Oreochromis niloticus: one gene and its partner. The protein of the gene in region 1 interacts with the protein of each later gene in a pairwise test. Links are inferred from orthologs where the notes say so. Each region holds a gene or a part of one and is shown on either strand. Other genes may lie near its edges.

Region 1 (7,554 bases):
TCATCTTCATTGCTCATTTCATCTGTGTCACTGCTGCTGCCTGAATGACATCGCATCACACAAGCAATAGAGTCAAGGAATGTATCTAATTATTGATCTCTTGTACACAAAAATAAAAGTATTATTCCTAAATACTTTCATTTTATGGTTAAAAATGCCCCGAAAGACTATTTGAGCACCCACTTGATTCACTAAAGCGAGCACAAGCTTTTTTTCCCACTTTGGGGGTGTGGCCATCTCTCCTCCTGCTCCCTGTTTCCATGGAAACAGGTCCTGGCTCCTGAGCACAGCATCATATATAAGAGTCAGTAACACAGTAAAATAGACATGCATATAGCAGCATTGTATACATCCTTTGTTAGTGAGCTTATGGCCTGCATGTTCCCCCCATTTATTTATTTCAATAGAGAACCCCCGAGGCTGGACATGATATGGCTAGACGTACATCTGGGGAATCTCCACACGCCCCTTCCAAGGCTTCCTCCTCCTCCTTCTTAAAGACAGTGTAGAAGATGTAGACCAAAAGGGAGTAAAAGGCATACATCTCCACGCTGCCCAAGAGTCTCTATAGATGACAAACGAGCTCATTAATAGCACGCATCTTTATAAAGGTGGAGAAAAGCAGAATTTTATTATTGACCTCTTATACTAACAAAACATTTAATATCAATGATTGTTAAAGGTTACATAATAACATAATCTAGTGCAAATACACAATGACTTCTACAGAGGTGAAACATGTTTCTATTGTGACAATCACTCTGTTCAATCACAATAAAACGCTTCGACTTCTTTACCTTATCAAATGAATTCTCCTCTTTGGTGTCGACTCTCCAACATTCCAGTCGTTCGTATTCCACTTTCAGCTTCCATCTGTATTCCCAGTGATGACTCTTCCCGTGCAGCTCTTGTTCTCAGAGCTGCAACAGCATCTCACAGCTGCATGCAGCTCCTCTGTGCCTCCTTCCCAACCGTCCTCTCCTCTCTCCTCCCCTTTTCTCCACTTTGCTCCAGCTACAGGCTGCATCTGCAGCGAGCATGCTCAGTGCAGTTTCCCGCTGCGCTGCAGTGGTGAAGTGACAGATACAGGCAGTCATGGAGACAGATTGAGGTTGTAGGTCTGATGCCAGTGGTCGCAGTCAGGGGTGACAGTGACCATAAAAGGCGCTCGGAAAAATCAGAAGCTGCAGCTTCATGCATCTGAAAACATCGGAATGGTTTCAAGGACTAAAGAAGTGGTTTAACAATGATAGATGGCACAACAGTAAGAAGCTGTCAGGTTACATAACTATGACTAGTTTTTTTACATGTTTATTTATTTAACAAGTTAAATACAAAATGTCACACTTCTAAATGGTCAAAAAATAGAAAACTAACACTTTAAAAGGCAACAATTACCATAACATTTTGGACTTCCCAGAAAAATGGTAAAAAGCATCAGTGTTCATCTTTTCCCTGAAGACTGACATAGGCAGTCCCAGAGAAAGGCACAGATGCTTGCACATATACTGCAAAAAGAAAAAAAAAAACTGCTGAGGAAGCTGCTCACACCCCTGAAATCTTTAGGGAGCCTCTGCAGCGTCCACTACAAATCACTGTAAAGAATATCAATATCTCACAAGGTCAATGTAAATGACATGGGACACAGTGAAACAAGGGTGGTTTAAACAGGCCAGGTTGTTTCAAGTACCAAGACAGCTGATACAAACTAAGAAAGTTTTTTTTCGTTGTTTAAATGAACTGATAAGAATCAAACAGTCGTTATGAGGTAAGAGCTGGGCCAAAACCTTCGACCACTGCAGATTTTTTTTTTTTCTTAAACAGACATCGTGCTGAGTCTGCAGAACAAATATCACCCAGACTCTGAGGCAGCTGGAAACCACAACATTAAAACTGTTAGAAGAGCCGGAAGATGGAAGAACCATGCTAAAAAGGAAATTCATACAGGAAGTTCAAATATACAAATGACATCTACAGAATAGTCAAACACAACACATCTAAAAAAAAAAAAGGGTATCTTCAGTCATGTTCTCTTGGTTTGGCTGTATGTTCCAGGAAATGCAGAGGCAAGCAAAAACAAGCATTACAAAAATGACTATTGTAGTATTCATACTGTAGTACTTTCATGCTGGACAATTTTCCCATCTTTAATTTCATCCAGAATTAAATCAATTTCTTAAATGTTTGGACATTTTTCTAAAAGGCCATAACAATAACTGTAACATGTAACTCAACATGTATTTAGGAGGATACATTTTATTTCTTGCATAAATATTTCCTGTATAAAACTATGCTATGCTTTAGTACATGTGATCTCTAAGATGATGAACCATAAACCTTGATGCCTTTCTATGAGCCCCCATTAATCAGTTAAAATCACATTTTTAAATCCCATTAAAAGTTTCAGCTTCCCACACCCTAAGCTGGCACCTTAGGTTTCTTGGGTTTTTCAAAAGATATGTTTCAAATTCATAAATCATGTGTAACTTTTTGGTATCACACTCAACAACCCCCCACCCCCACCCGCAAACTTATTTCTTACATCCTTGATTCCTTTCCTAGTGAGGTGAGGATAAGACATCATCACACACACAGAAACAGTGTGTGTCTTACAGAGCAGGTAGACAAAGGTCAGAGGAGACAAGGAGGCAAAAGGTAGAGATATGAGACCAGTCCACAGCAAACCCCCATACCTTCAAATGGGATTTTTTTTTAACCAGTTATATTAACTGGGTATTAATTTACACAAGTATTTTTGTAATCAAAAGACAGTGTGCATAGATTTCACTTAAATAAAGTAACACAGACTCACTGTCTTTACTGCATACATGCTTACTGCCATGTTTCGTTTACTCCCCAAAAGCTCATTATGAGCCATAAAAATGCTGCATGATGATGCAGGAAAAAGATAAACGTCAAATCCTAGAGAAGATTGAACAAACTATTACTGGAGCTATTATTTATTATATTGACACATTAATAGGCACAATAGATTTCTGCATTGTTCTAGTTTGTCAGTCACATCTGTCAACGTCAAAAATACCTACATTTAGGAGATTTCTATGAACTTAAATAGACAGCTTGGTCAGTCACATCCAACAGAAACTTGCCAAGAGCAAGAGTTGACACCCAACAGCCTATCAACAGTGACCCCTTTAAAAGACACTTCATCAGTCCTTCTGTAGCAACTGGAAAAAGCAGAGGAGCAAAAGTTTTTGTTCCAAACCTATGAGTCAGCAGTAAGGGGAGGCTGAGGGCCATGCTCCCAAAGGCCCCTGAAGCATTACCAGCAAACAAACACACCGTCAGGCAGCAGGAGAGGGATGATAGGCCCAGACAGCGAGTCATAATTGTGAGAGTATCTGCTGAGAGCCAGTCAGAGAGTCCGAGCAGCAGGCAAGAACCACAGAGGAGAATCTGTGCTGTGTTACGGTCCTGACTGAGCCAAAGGAAATCAAAGGAGACCAACACTGGAGCCAGCACCTCAGCAGCCCATTCTGCTTCTCTCTGCAGGGAGGTGAGGTAGGGGCTGGAGGGATGCAAGATGGAAATTGCTGCAGAGATCCCAAGCAGAAAGAAGCCTACTGAAGGTGCTCTGTGGACCTGTAGAGAGAGAATGACCAAGTTTGATACTGGCTGGATTGATAGATTCACAAATGTCAAGTGAAAGATTTACGGTTTACTGCTAAAAGTAAGATGCAAAAAAACCAAACAAAAACAAACTAAAATAAAGGGAAATAGCTGAGGAAAGAGGGCCAAACCCAAGGCTATTAAGTTTACTATCATTTAATAAAAGCAGAAACTACTTATTTACTACAAATAAATAAATAAATGTACACACACCGATACTACATTGAGTGATACCCACCTTAAATAGTTTGTAAGAGTAGTAGAGTGCAGTGGCTGTCAAAATTATGTTCAAACATGACGTGACCCACTCTGTTAGATAGGACGCCATTGATCCTGATAGACACGGCTCGAGAACACCAGGAAAATTACAAAGTGTTAGTCAGCGTGATTTTAGGTAGCTATTAAAACTGGAGACGGTGTCAAAATTTCAAAAATTTCACTGACAAACAGACAAAACAATCAGCACCAAACTTTAGATAGGAACCACAATTGTAGCAGGAACAGCGACCGTTTGTTTTGACACGTGACAAGCAAGGATTTGGCGGTGCGCAGGCGCAAAATGGTGCATTCAAGGCCATTCGTAAACCCTGCAACTATGCTAACCAAAATGACCATCAGGTTTGAAATGCTTTACGGATTACTTGCTTATTTCTCATCTTTTTTGAGCCCGTGTCTTATACAGGTATCTGAAACAATGCAATTTTGTTTTCAAAAAATCTAAAAGCCTTCATTAATTAGCTGAATATCTTTGGTCGAACTAAAAAATATTAACCTGCATTTTCAAAGTTATATTTGAATATGTACACTCAAACTCTCAATAAACTGAAGTCTAACAACTTTAGAAATAGTGGGACCTTAATGAACATACTTCACGGTTTGTATAAAAGCTCCAGTAACAAAAGTGAAGCAGGAAGGACGGTATTTATTTTTCAGGCCCTGAAGGCAGCAGAACTTCGAAAAGTATGGCGGCGAAGTGTTTGACAATACTAACAGAGCAGTGGATACGTGAAAGATTAAGGCTAAAACACCCGCGTCTCGGTAACTTCACATCCAAGCTAATATATACACTATGTAGGAGTAATCAGCAGCTAACTTTAAGGGTGAGGTAGGGACAATAGACATTTGCTGTTGAAAACTACTGTGGCTAGATACTCTGCCAGGCCAGAGCATCAGTAGATAAGCTAACGAGAGCTAGCGTAACAATAAATGCTCCCTGCTCCAGACCACATCACCACAACATCTTAAAGTTATTACTTTTTTAATTGTGTTTAAATAGGCGACGTGCGGACATTGAGCCTTCCGGGGACATATGAGGAGAAGATCAGACACCTGGGAAATGGTCTGAATAACTTTATCCGTCTGAAATCTCTGGATCTCTCCTGTAATGCACTCGTTTCAGTTGAGGTTAGTTTTAGATTTTTTTTTTAAATAGAATTCACCATTTATACTACTGAAGAAAGAGTCAGAGTTTAATAATTATAAATGATTAAGTGCAGTAGTGGTGTATAAACTATTTGATAGTTTGAGCAATCTCCCTCTAGGAATTTGAAGACATTTGTGAGTCCTCATAATGATACTGTAGAGGGGGAGTTGTCAATGGTATTGAACAGGCTAATCACAATAGATACAGTCTGTGTTGACCTGACATGTAGTTACATTTCTAGGGAAGCTACAGCATAGGGTTTCAGGGGGGGTTGTGGTTATGGCTAGTGTGTAAATTACCCACTGATTACCCTGAACACTAAAACTGCATGTTCTTATGCTGATATCGGCCAATACCATATATTTTGTACATTAAGTGATATAATATATTGCATGACTAATAATTTTAGTTTTTAATATTTGCAGAGTCTGTATCTTAGCTGTTCCATTGGTTTGTTCTCAGGGTGTGCAACATTTAAAAATGCTACAGAGGCTGATCCTCTACTATAACTGCATACCTTCTCTTGAAGAAGTGAAAGTACTGTTTGAGCTGCCATCGTTAAAAGAGTTGGACCTCAGGCTCAACCCTCTGGCCAAAAATAATCCACAGTACCGCCTTTATTTGGTGCATGCCATGCCCAGCCTGCGCAAGCTAGGTAAGATGTTGTTTTGTCGCCCAGAATTTGCTCATCTCATGTCAGGTTTTAAAATAATAAGTTCTCCTCGTTGATTTACAGATAGCTGTTCAGTCAGAGATGCTGAGCGTAAATCTGCCTTGATGCAGTTCTCTTCTGAACTTCTTCCTCAGCAGATGAGCTCCTCTTTGAATCTGATTGATGATCGAAGGTATGCTGAACACAAAATCCTTAATGTAAATGAGCTTCAGCTCATTCTGTTTGATGAAAGTGTCAAATAAAGATCTGGTACCAGATTTATATGTAATATATTTTTGAAAATACTATTTTTCTCTTATACACTCATGGACACTTTATTAGTTACACCTTACCAGTATTGATTTGGACCCCTTTTGCCTTCAAAACTGCCTTAATTCTTCATGGCACAGATTAATCGAGGTGCTGGAAACATTCTTCAGAGATTTTGGGAAATATTACACGATAACATCACACAGCTGCTGCAGATTTGTCGGCTCCACATCCATGATGTGACTCTTCATTTCCACTGCATCCCACATATGTTCTATTGGATTGAGATCTGGTGGTTGTGGAGGCCATTTCAATACAGTGAAGTCACTGTCATGACCAGATTGAGATGAAAATTTTCCCCACACTATTACACCATCACCAGCATGAGCCATTAATACAAGGCAGGGCAACACGCTTTCATGTTCTTTGTGCCAAATTCTGACTTTCCTTCTAAATGTCAGAGCAGAAATTGAGACTCATCAGACCAGCGACGTTATTAAAATCTTCTATCGTCCAGTGAGTCTGTGCAAACTTTGGCATCAGTTTTTAGAGATGGTTGTAGAACAACAATTTAAAAAATACTCAGACCAGCTTTCTGGCACCAACCTTGCCACCTTCAAAGTCATGCAGATCACTGATCCTCCACTTGAACTTCAGCTAGTTGCCTTGACCATGTCAACACACATAAATACAGTGAGTTGCATCTTCTGGCTGGTGGAGCACATGAAAATGCAGTGAAATGGGTATTCTCAACCTCAGTTGCTCGAGCGGTACCATTTGCTGCGTCATTTGTGGTTTTTCAGAAGCAGTGATCGCAGACCAGCTTTAACTGACCGCTTAACCAAGAGCCTTTCTGTCCTGACCGACACTCGTGATATTGAGCTGAACTTTGTTGCCACAAATGATGGAGAGCAAAGTGAAGCTGTCTCTGACTCATTTCACAACGAGGCCGATGGTAAGATGTCACACTCCAAAAAGTTAAACTCAAATCAAAATCAAACCTGACTTATTCATGTTTATTTGTTTTGTTTTAACTTCTGATAAATCCAAACCATCTGCTGTTTCAGGTTTCAAAGAGAAAGTTTCTGAAGATTTTAGAGAACAGAGGAGCTCAACTCCCAAACAGGTGGTTTTATTGTTTCTACAGATTAAACAACATTAACAGTATAAAAATTCATTTTGAAGTAACTCTGTTCTTATTTTTAGGAAACTGCTAAATCCATCCTCAGGTATCCACTCACTAAAAATGGTAAGCCTATTTTTCTAGTTTAGGAGAGTGCAGTTTTTTGTATGTCAGTAGCTTATTAGAATTGAGATTGCAGAAGAATTATTATAGCAATAAAGCTTTCTTTGAAGGTAAGAAATCATTATCAGTAAGCAATTATGAAAACAAAGTTGTGGTTATGAAAATGTAATTGTGAACATTATTAAGAGCATGATGAAAACAGGACAGTTCACCAAGAGGCCACTAAGTCACAGTATGTTTGTCCAGTGCAATTTCCTCAGTTGATGACAGTGTGTATAATCACCACTAGGTGGCGACAGAAGTCTTTTCCTGTGTGTGTGTTTTGTTTTTTTT
Region 2 (7,243 bases), on another chromosome or scaffold:
TCAACTTGTTCTGAAGTGTCAGGGATCTCTGGAAAAAAAAACAAGATTAAAAGGATGACACACGTTTGGTTTTAATAATGGCATTGTAAGTTGGTTTATTCTCAACAGACCTGATATAGGAGAGCTGTTAACATTTTTCACACATTGTTTTGATCACTAGTAGTGGATTGTTTTGTTTTCACACATCACAGATCAACAGAAGGTCCCACTGGAAAAGCAGGTTTTCCCTCAGTTTATCAGTTGATCACTCTGTTCATCTATCCCTTTAGCAGAGGAATCATCTATTTAACACATGTTGGTAAGTAGCTGAAAAAAGAACCCATTGTAGTGTTTTCATTTTCCCCCAAACTGTCTACATTATTTATCCATCCATATTTTTCTTATCCCAGCTGTCACAAGGACCTTTTTGGTGCGTGGCCACACTGCTAACCACTGTACCACCCCTTACATTATTAAGTTGGAACAGATAAGGGTAGATATGTTGCACTTTGATGCTGCTGCTGTAAAAGATCTGTAATACTAACTAAATAACTAAAAATAGAATTTCACATTTTTCTGGCCTTAAACAATAATCACTGCATTGTTTGGTAATTTCTGGGTTATTCCAACTTTACTAAGCTGCTGTCATGAAACTACACACTCACTAGTGATCCCTAAAGTGCCACCAGAAATTCTCAGATTTAAGAAGCTGAAACAGTTGAAGAAAGTTCTACATAAATGTTACAAATGTGTTTTTACAGTGTTCAGACGATAACCATAGCCCCAGATAGTTCTTACATTAGGCTCATCAGTTCACTATAAGATCTAACAAAAAAAGTTTAGGATTCGATAGAAGTTACTCAATGAACAGTTAACAATATGTGACTGAAGTGATTCAACTTTAAGTCAAGGAATTTAACCACAATTTTACCATTTCCAAGGGCCCAAACTAACTTTGAATATAAGGATTACTTTTAATACAGCCAATGAGTACATGAAGTCCAGAACCTGTGAATATCATCATTGAGATGATGAGATGCTCTGCCAGGCCTGCTTTTTGTGGGTTTTTCTGCATTCAGCTTTGTCTTCATTAGCTGAAAAGCTGCTCTACTGAGTTGAAATCAGGTGACTGAACTCTTGGGTTGCTTTTGCACTTTGCTTTGGTTTGATTTGAACACCTCACAGTTCATCCTGCTACTTCCATTAGCAGTCACAGCATCAATAAACCACTGAGACCCGTTTCCACCGGCGTCCACATGTGTCGATGCCATAATGCTGCCTTCGCCGTGCTTGACAGATGATGCGGTATGCTTTGGATCATGAGCTTTTTCTCTCCTTCTCCGTAATTGATCCACAGATTCCTTTTACAGAATTGTGCAGACTCGTTTAGATGGTTTTTTTGACAAATCTAATCTGGCCTTCCTGTCCTTGAGTGTAACCAGAGGTTTTCAGCTTGTTTTACACTCGCAGTGTTTCCAACCATGAAGCCATCATTTTGGCAGTGATACACCTGCCTTCTCAAGAGTATTCTTAACTTCATTAAATGTTGTGAAGTTGTCAGGAGATTTATTCTAAAACACTTCTTCAGTTGAGAATCAGAGAGGAGAAACACAGTTTTACTTGTATACAAGGGCAGCACAGAGCACCCACAGTGAGAGTGATGGCTCTGTGACACGTGCTCTGAAACTGCCCTGGCCTTTATTTATACATCAGTGGGTGTTTGTTCCTTACATTGGAATGTGGATGTTTAGGTGAGTGTGTGTGTGTGTGTGTGTGTGTGTGTGTGTGTGTGTGTGTGTGTGTGTGTATGTGTGTGTGTGTGGGGTCAAAGCATGACCCCATATATGACTTCCCTAAACCTGCTGGCCTGGAAGTCCAGCAGTTCATCTAAACAAAATGCACTTAGCCTAAAACAGGCATAGATACGTTTATCCTATCATAAAACAATAAAAGAAGGTACGACCTCTCCCATTCTCCCAGAGTGTGGGTGTGAAAACCAGAACACCCTGGAAATGCACACAAAGCCTACTAAAGATCACACATCCTATCACTACACAATCGATTATACACCTCTAAGCATATATGGAAACTTATATCATTAAAAGCTTATACTGACTACTAAGTACAATTTTCCATTGACAGAAGTAGTTTTTCTCAACCTCAAAAAGACCTGTGTGATCATCCACTTTAGTTTTCTTTGTGGTCTCTCAGGCTTTTTCTGATGCTGAGCTGGCCAGTACATTCATTCTTGTTAGGACAGTACTACATAACTGATCTGGCAATTCCCAAATTTTTGTTCATAGACATATTTTGTTTTGTTTTTTAAAAAAACCTAATGACAGCTTATGAATCTTTTACGTGATTGATTTGTCATAGAATAACACAAAGGTGCCTCACTGGGCTATTAAAGTACTCATCGGTGATTTTTCCAGTTACTTTCAAGCATCTGAAAATGGAAGAGTTTATAAAAATGTTTCTAATTCCTAAAGAGTTAATGTTTTTTGTTAAACTCTGATTTAAACCTAAAATTGGCCTGTCGGTCACATCATGATTGCTGGATATAAAATCCACTGTGGTGTTTCAATGTTGTTGTTTTTTAAATGTCATATGCTCAATGTCTGAATACTTATGGACATTGGAGGGATGCATTACCAATGGACTCAGCAGAATTGCTCCTCATTGCCAACCCAGACTGTTTACTTTGTCCCTCCAGAGAAGACAAGCTTCCATCATCATCAAAATCCTCAGGATAGTGGCATTGGTTCTGTTCATCTTCCTCCTCTACATCGGCAGAGGAGAAACTGACCTCCATACTTTGTTCTTTCTCTTCCCAAGAGTAGGACTGACTGGCAAAACAGGGTTGAAGTGTTGTGTTGATGTCTTCTTTTTGAACTTCCAAATTAATGTGAGCCACAGGCGTGCAGCAGTCTGTCTCTGTGTCTTTGATAGATTGCAGGTGATCTCGCACATAGGCACTGCTAAGTATAAAAGCAGCACTGGGCCTGTTGTCCGGATTGAGGTTGAGCATGCTCTGGATTAATGAGGAAATACTATCTGAGAACAAGTCAGGCACCGGGTGGTACTCTCCTTTGGTGATCTTATTGAACAGACTCAGGAGATTTGTGGCTGCAAAAGCAGGCCTGAGAGCACAGAGCTCATACAGGAGACAACCAAGAGCCCAGATGTCGGACTTGCAGCTGTACGGGATGTCCTGGCAAAGCTCGGGACTTAGGTAGCTGGGTGTCCCAACACATGTGGAAGCCATATCGGCTGTGTTAGTCATTATTCTGGATATGCCAAAATCCCCTAACTTTACCACACCTTGCTTTGTCAGCAGCACATTAGAGGGTTTGATGTCCCTGTGAAGTATTTTAGCTGTGTGTATGTAATTTACAGCCATAGCGACCTGGACAAACCAGCCCATCACAGTGTGCTCTGTGAAGAACTCCCCTGGTTTCCTCTCCTTTACTCTGTCATCCAAAGTCCCTCCATCGCAGTAGCTCATCACAATGTAAACGAACCCATCGTCGGAGTTCACAAAGGCCTCGCTGCATTTCACAATGTGAGGATGCTCCAGCCTTTTGATAATTTCTGCTTCCTGGAGAATGGCCCTCTGCGTTTTTGCCCTCTTCGTGGTCTCCGCCTTTATCCTCTTCACCGCGTACAGGCACTTCCGTTCCACGTGTCTCATGAGAAACACGTCTGCCGCTCCTCCGCTGCCCAACCGCAAGACCATCTCGTACTTCTCCATATTTGTGTCATAGAAACAAAAAACAGAGGCGAACACCCAGACTGCAGCCCGCTCGTCACGAGCCGTTTGTGTTCACTGCCGTTTCCATAGTGACCCATGACGCTGTGAGAATGGGTATGGGGGTGGGTCAGCGGCGTGTGAGAGTTACACATGCGAGTCCAAACATTAGTGTGGTTTCTAAATGGACACACTAATGTATGTACACTGTTTTCTTTATTTAGCGCCTATTTCATTACCTCTGCCATACACAAACTTAAAAAAAAAAAAACCCTTTTAATTTTAAAACTATTTTAAACTGTGATTCGAGAATATGAATTTATTGTCGAAAATCAAAATATTAAACCCTAACCCTAGCCTTTATGTTGGCAGCAAAGGAGATAACATTGAGTGCCGTCACATAAGAAAAGGAAGAAACATCTCATTAGCGTGTACAGGTATGAACCGCGTTTGTGGTTCTGTACAGTAGATGGCGGTATATTGTATCAATTATCTTTGATCTACCAACGAGTGGCGAAAGAAGAAGAAGCGTTTGGGCTCTCTGCGCAGGTTTATGCGCATGCTAATCACAACATAGCAGGGGTTTCATCTATAACTGTTATTTCTTATTGATTATTGTTGAGTTATAATTGCACGTTAGCCTGAAATGCCACCAAAGGGAAAAGGGGGAAAGGGTGGTAAAGGTTAGTGTCCTATAACTTACTAATTGTATTTGTATTCTATAATTAAAGTCAGCTAATAACTTTCCCATGTGATCCCAGAAGCGCCTTTATCACAACGGTTACTACTACAGTGCAGTTTTAATGGGTTTAACGGGTGCTGTGGTGTGTTCATCTCCTATCTTGTCACTATGTAGGAGCTGCTTCAGGGAGTGCAGACACCGACAAGAAAGAAAAAGGCCCAAAGGGAGGGACCGCTGTCAAGGTAACGTTACATTGAAGGCAAAGCTAAACTGCAACAATGACAGATTTCATTCCCTTCCCAACAAAATGTGACTTTGGGGGAGTTGAAAGGAGAGCACAGATGAACGAGTCCATGTCGCGTGCAGTGTCATGCATCCCGTACGATGCTATTTTAATAATAGAATAATCCAAACCTTTCTGCTTTAACAGAAATGTCTGAACAATTGTTGCCTTTTCTTGTCTTTTTAATAATTATCATTTGCACAGTATATCATTCCCGACTTATTTAGGTACATTCAGAGAGACTGTTGTTAAACTTTTTTGTTTAAAAAAGGTTTTCTGTTAAAAAATATTCTGTGAAAAAGCACTTCATAAACTTAACTAAATATCAAAATTTAGTACCAATAGATAATATCAAAAGATTCAGAGAATGTGGAGAAATCTCTGTGCACAAGGGCCGCGATCTTTGAGCCCTCAAGGGGCATAACGTTAAAAAAAAGGCATGATTCTGTCATGAAAATGACTGAATGGTCTCAGGAACTCTACCAGAAATCACTGGCTCTGTCATGCAAAGAAGAAGTCATGTGAACATGATCCAGAAACCCCCTCGCTCATTTAAAATTGACCAAGGGAAAGTGGAAAACTGTTCTGGGTTCAGGCGATGAATATTTTTTTTTAATTTTTGGAAAACATGGATGCTGAACTAAAGACAAAGAGCGACCATCCAGCTTGTTATATCATCACTTGTCTCTAACGCTAGCTTCTCTGATGGTTTGAGGGTACAACAGTGCACTCCTTGGGAGCTCGCACATCTGGAAAGGCACCATCAATGCTGCAAGATATATACAGGTTTTTAGACCAAAGTGTGCTTCCATCTAGACAATGTGTTTTCGAGGGAAAGGCTTGCAAGAGAATGCTAAACTGCATACTACCGCGAACTGCAAAACATTCAACACATCGTGAAATGAAAAACAAAAAAGCTTCAGGGCTATCGAGCAGCTAGAATCCTATATCAGACAAGAGTAGGACAAGTCCAGCAGAATCATCTGTTTTTGTTTTTTTTCTGCAGGTCCGGCATATCCTGTGTGAAAAACATGGAAAATGCATGGAAGCAATGGAGAAACTGAAGGCTGGAGTTCGTTTCAGTGAAGTAGCTACACAGTACAGTGAAGACAAAGCCAGACAAGGAGTAAGCGCTTGCACTTGTAATCAGATGTGCGGTGTTAGTTTCCCTTTATTGACAGTCTCAGTTTGTTTATAATGCTTAACTGAAATCATCCTAGTCAGAAGTAACGTAACCATGGAAAATTTGTCATATGATTCCTTAGTTATCGTATTACACAGTACGTGGCCTAAATGAGGTCATTGTTGAGAGTTTTTCTTGGCTCTGGCAGAAATCTATCCATTTTAGTCCTTTCTCTTAACCATTTGGTAATTGACATTTGGATTATATTAGAGCAAACAAAATCCAAACTAATAGAAATGTTTACAGATTGCTTTATTACACTGCTGTTTATCTTTCTGTGTGTCAGAAAGTCCCGTGAGGGGAAACCTGACTGTTTTATAGGATGTGTAATGTTTAGCATCACAGATAATGAGTTTCAACGGCTGACTATCCCACCACAACATCTACACCGATGTATTTTGAGCTGCTGGGAAACTCCAGTCCAGATTAGGCTATTACTCAGGTCACCACAGAAATATGTGAAGAGTTGCTGCAAACAAGCATTTGCTTCACACCCCCTTTTAAAAAATTTTTTTATTTTTGTTTGTCAAAATATCAGTTTGCCTCTTCAGTACAGCATCAGCATTAGGGATGGGTATCGAAAACCGGTTCTTGTTGAGAACCGGTTCCCACTGTTTCAATTCCTTGGAATCGTTTGCCATTTTTGCAAACGATTCCCTTATCGATTCCAGTCACCCCGAATGACGTCACCACGTTGCGGAGCGTCGGAGCGTACCTGGCAGGAAACACGGCGCCTAAGCGGCTCAAACGCTTAAAAGTTTGTTTATACTTTACGAGAATGGATGACAACAGGGCAACTTGCAATACTTGCAAAGTAGATATTTCATTTAAGGGAGGAAACACTACGAATATGCAAAAGCATTTGCTCACAAAACACGCGATGAATTTAAATGAATGTCTTTAATTCCGCTCCGGACTCGTGAATCTCAACCCAGCAGCAGCAGCGGTAACGTTTGCACGTCATCTCCCGTTAATGCGGCAGGTAAATAATCAACTAACAGTGCATATTATGTTAGCGCGATCTGCTTTATTACAAAACCTGCCATTGTGCATTTAGGTGACCATGATGAGACAGACAGACAGAGTCTGGCTGGCGCTCGCTGGCAGTTGTCGCTGCAGTCTACCGGTAGCGTCTCTTTTCAGGCCCGCATGTCACCGAGCAGTGACTAGTTTGTGGTCAAAACCTTGCAGCCATTTGCCACAGCAGATGGTAAGTGAATGTGTTTAATTGTAGGCAGGGACATTACTGGATATTCTTGTGTAATTGCTACAGAATAATTTATGTTATACTTTGTTATTGCTACAGAAGAATATTTATTTTATTATTTTACGTTTATAATTTTCCCCGGGGACCCTGTGACACCCCAT

Evidence for each region.
Region 2: the proteins of cep72 (region 1) and pin4 interact in binary tests that used the Homo sapiens proteins (3 or more experiments, as listed by UniProt). The two-hybrid records come from large-scale screens. The link is inferred for Oreochromis niloticus from reciprocal best matches to the Homo sapiens genes CEP72 and PIN4.

Annotation. Positions count from the first base shown.
Region 1 is NC_031976.2:18,928,789-18,936,342, reverse strand, and holds the start of cep72 (centrosomal protein of 72 kDa), read left to right. Parts: upstream 1-4,552; 5' UTR 4,553-4,592; coding exon 4,593-4,668; exon of another isoform or gene 4,669-4,735; intron 4,736-4,906; coding exon 4,907-5,034; intron 5,035-5,515; coding exon 5,516-5,708; intron 5,709-5,789; coding exon 5,790-5,898; intron 5,899-6,778; coding exon 6,779-6,930; intron 6,931-7,042; coding exon 7,043-7,101; intron 7,102-7,181; coding exon 7,182-7,224; intron 7,225-7,554. Other genes in the region: si:ch211-257p13.3 (kinesin-like protein KIFC3), read right to left, coding at 1-40, 184-280, 446-544. UniProt on the Homo sapiens protein: Involved in the recruitment of key centrosomal proteins to the centrosome.
Region 2 is NC_031966.2:29,508,926-29,516,168, reverse strand, and holds the start of pin4 (peptidyl-prolyl cis-trans isomerase NIMA-interacting 4), read left to right. Parts: upstream 1-4,224; 5' UTR 4,225-4,373; coding exon 4,374-4,410; intron 4,411-4,583; coding exon 4,584-4,651; intron 4,652-5,698; coding exon 5,699-5,818; intron 5,819-7,243. Other genes in the region: nek12 (NIMA-related kinase 12), read right to left, coding at 1-28, 2,632-3,730.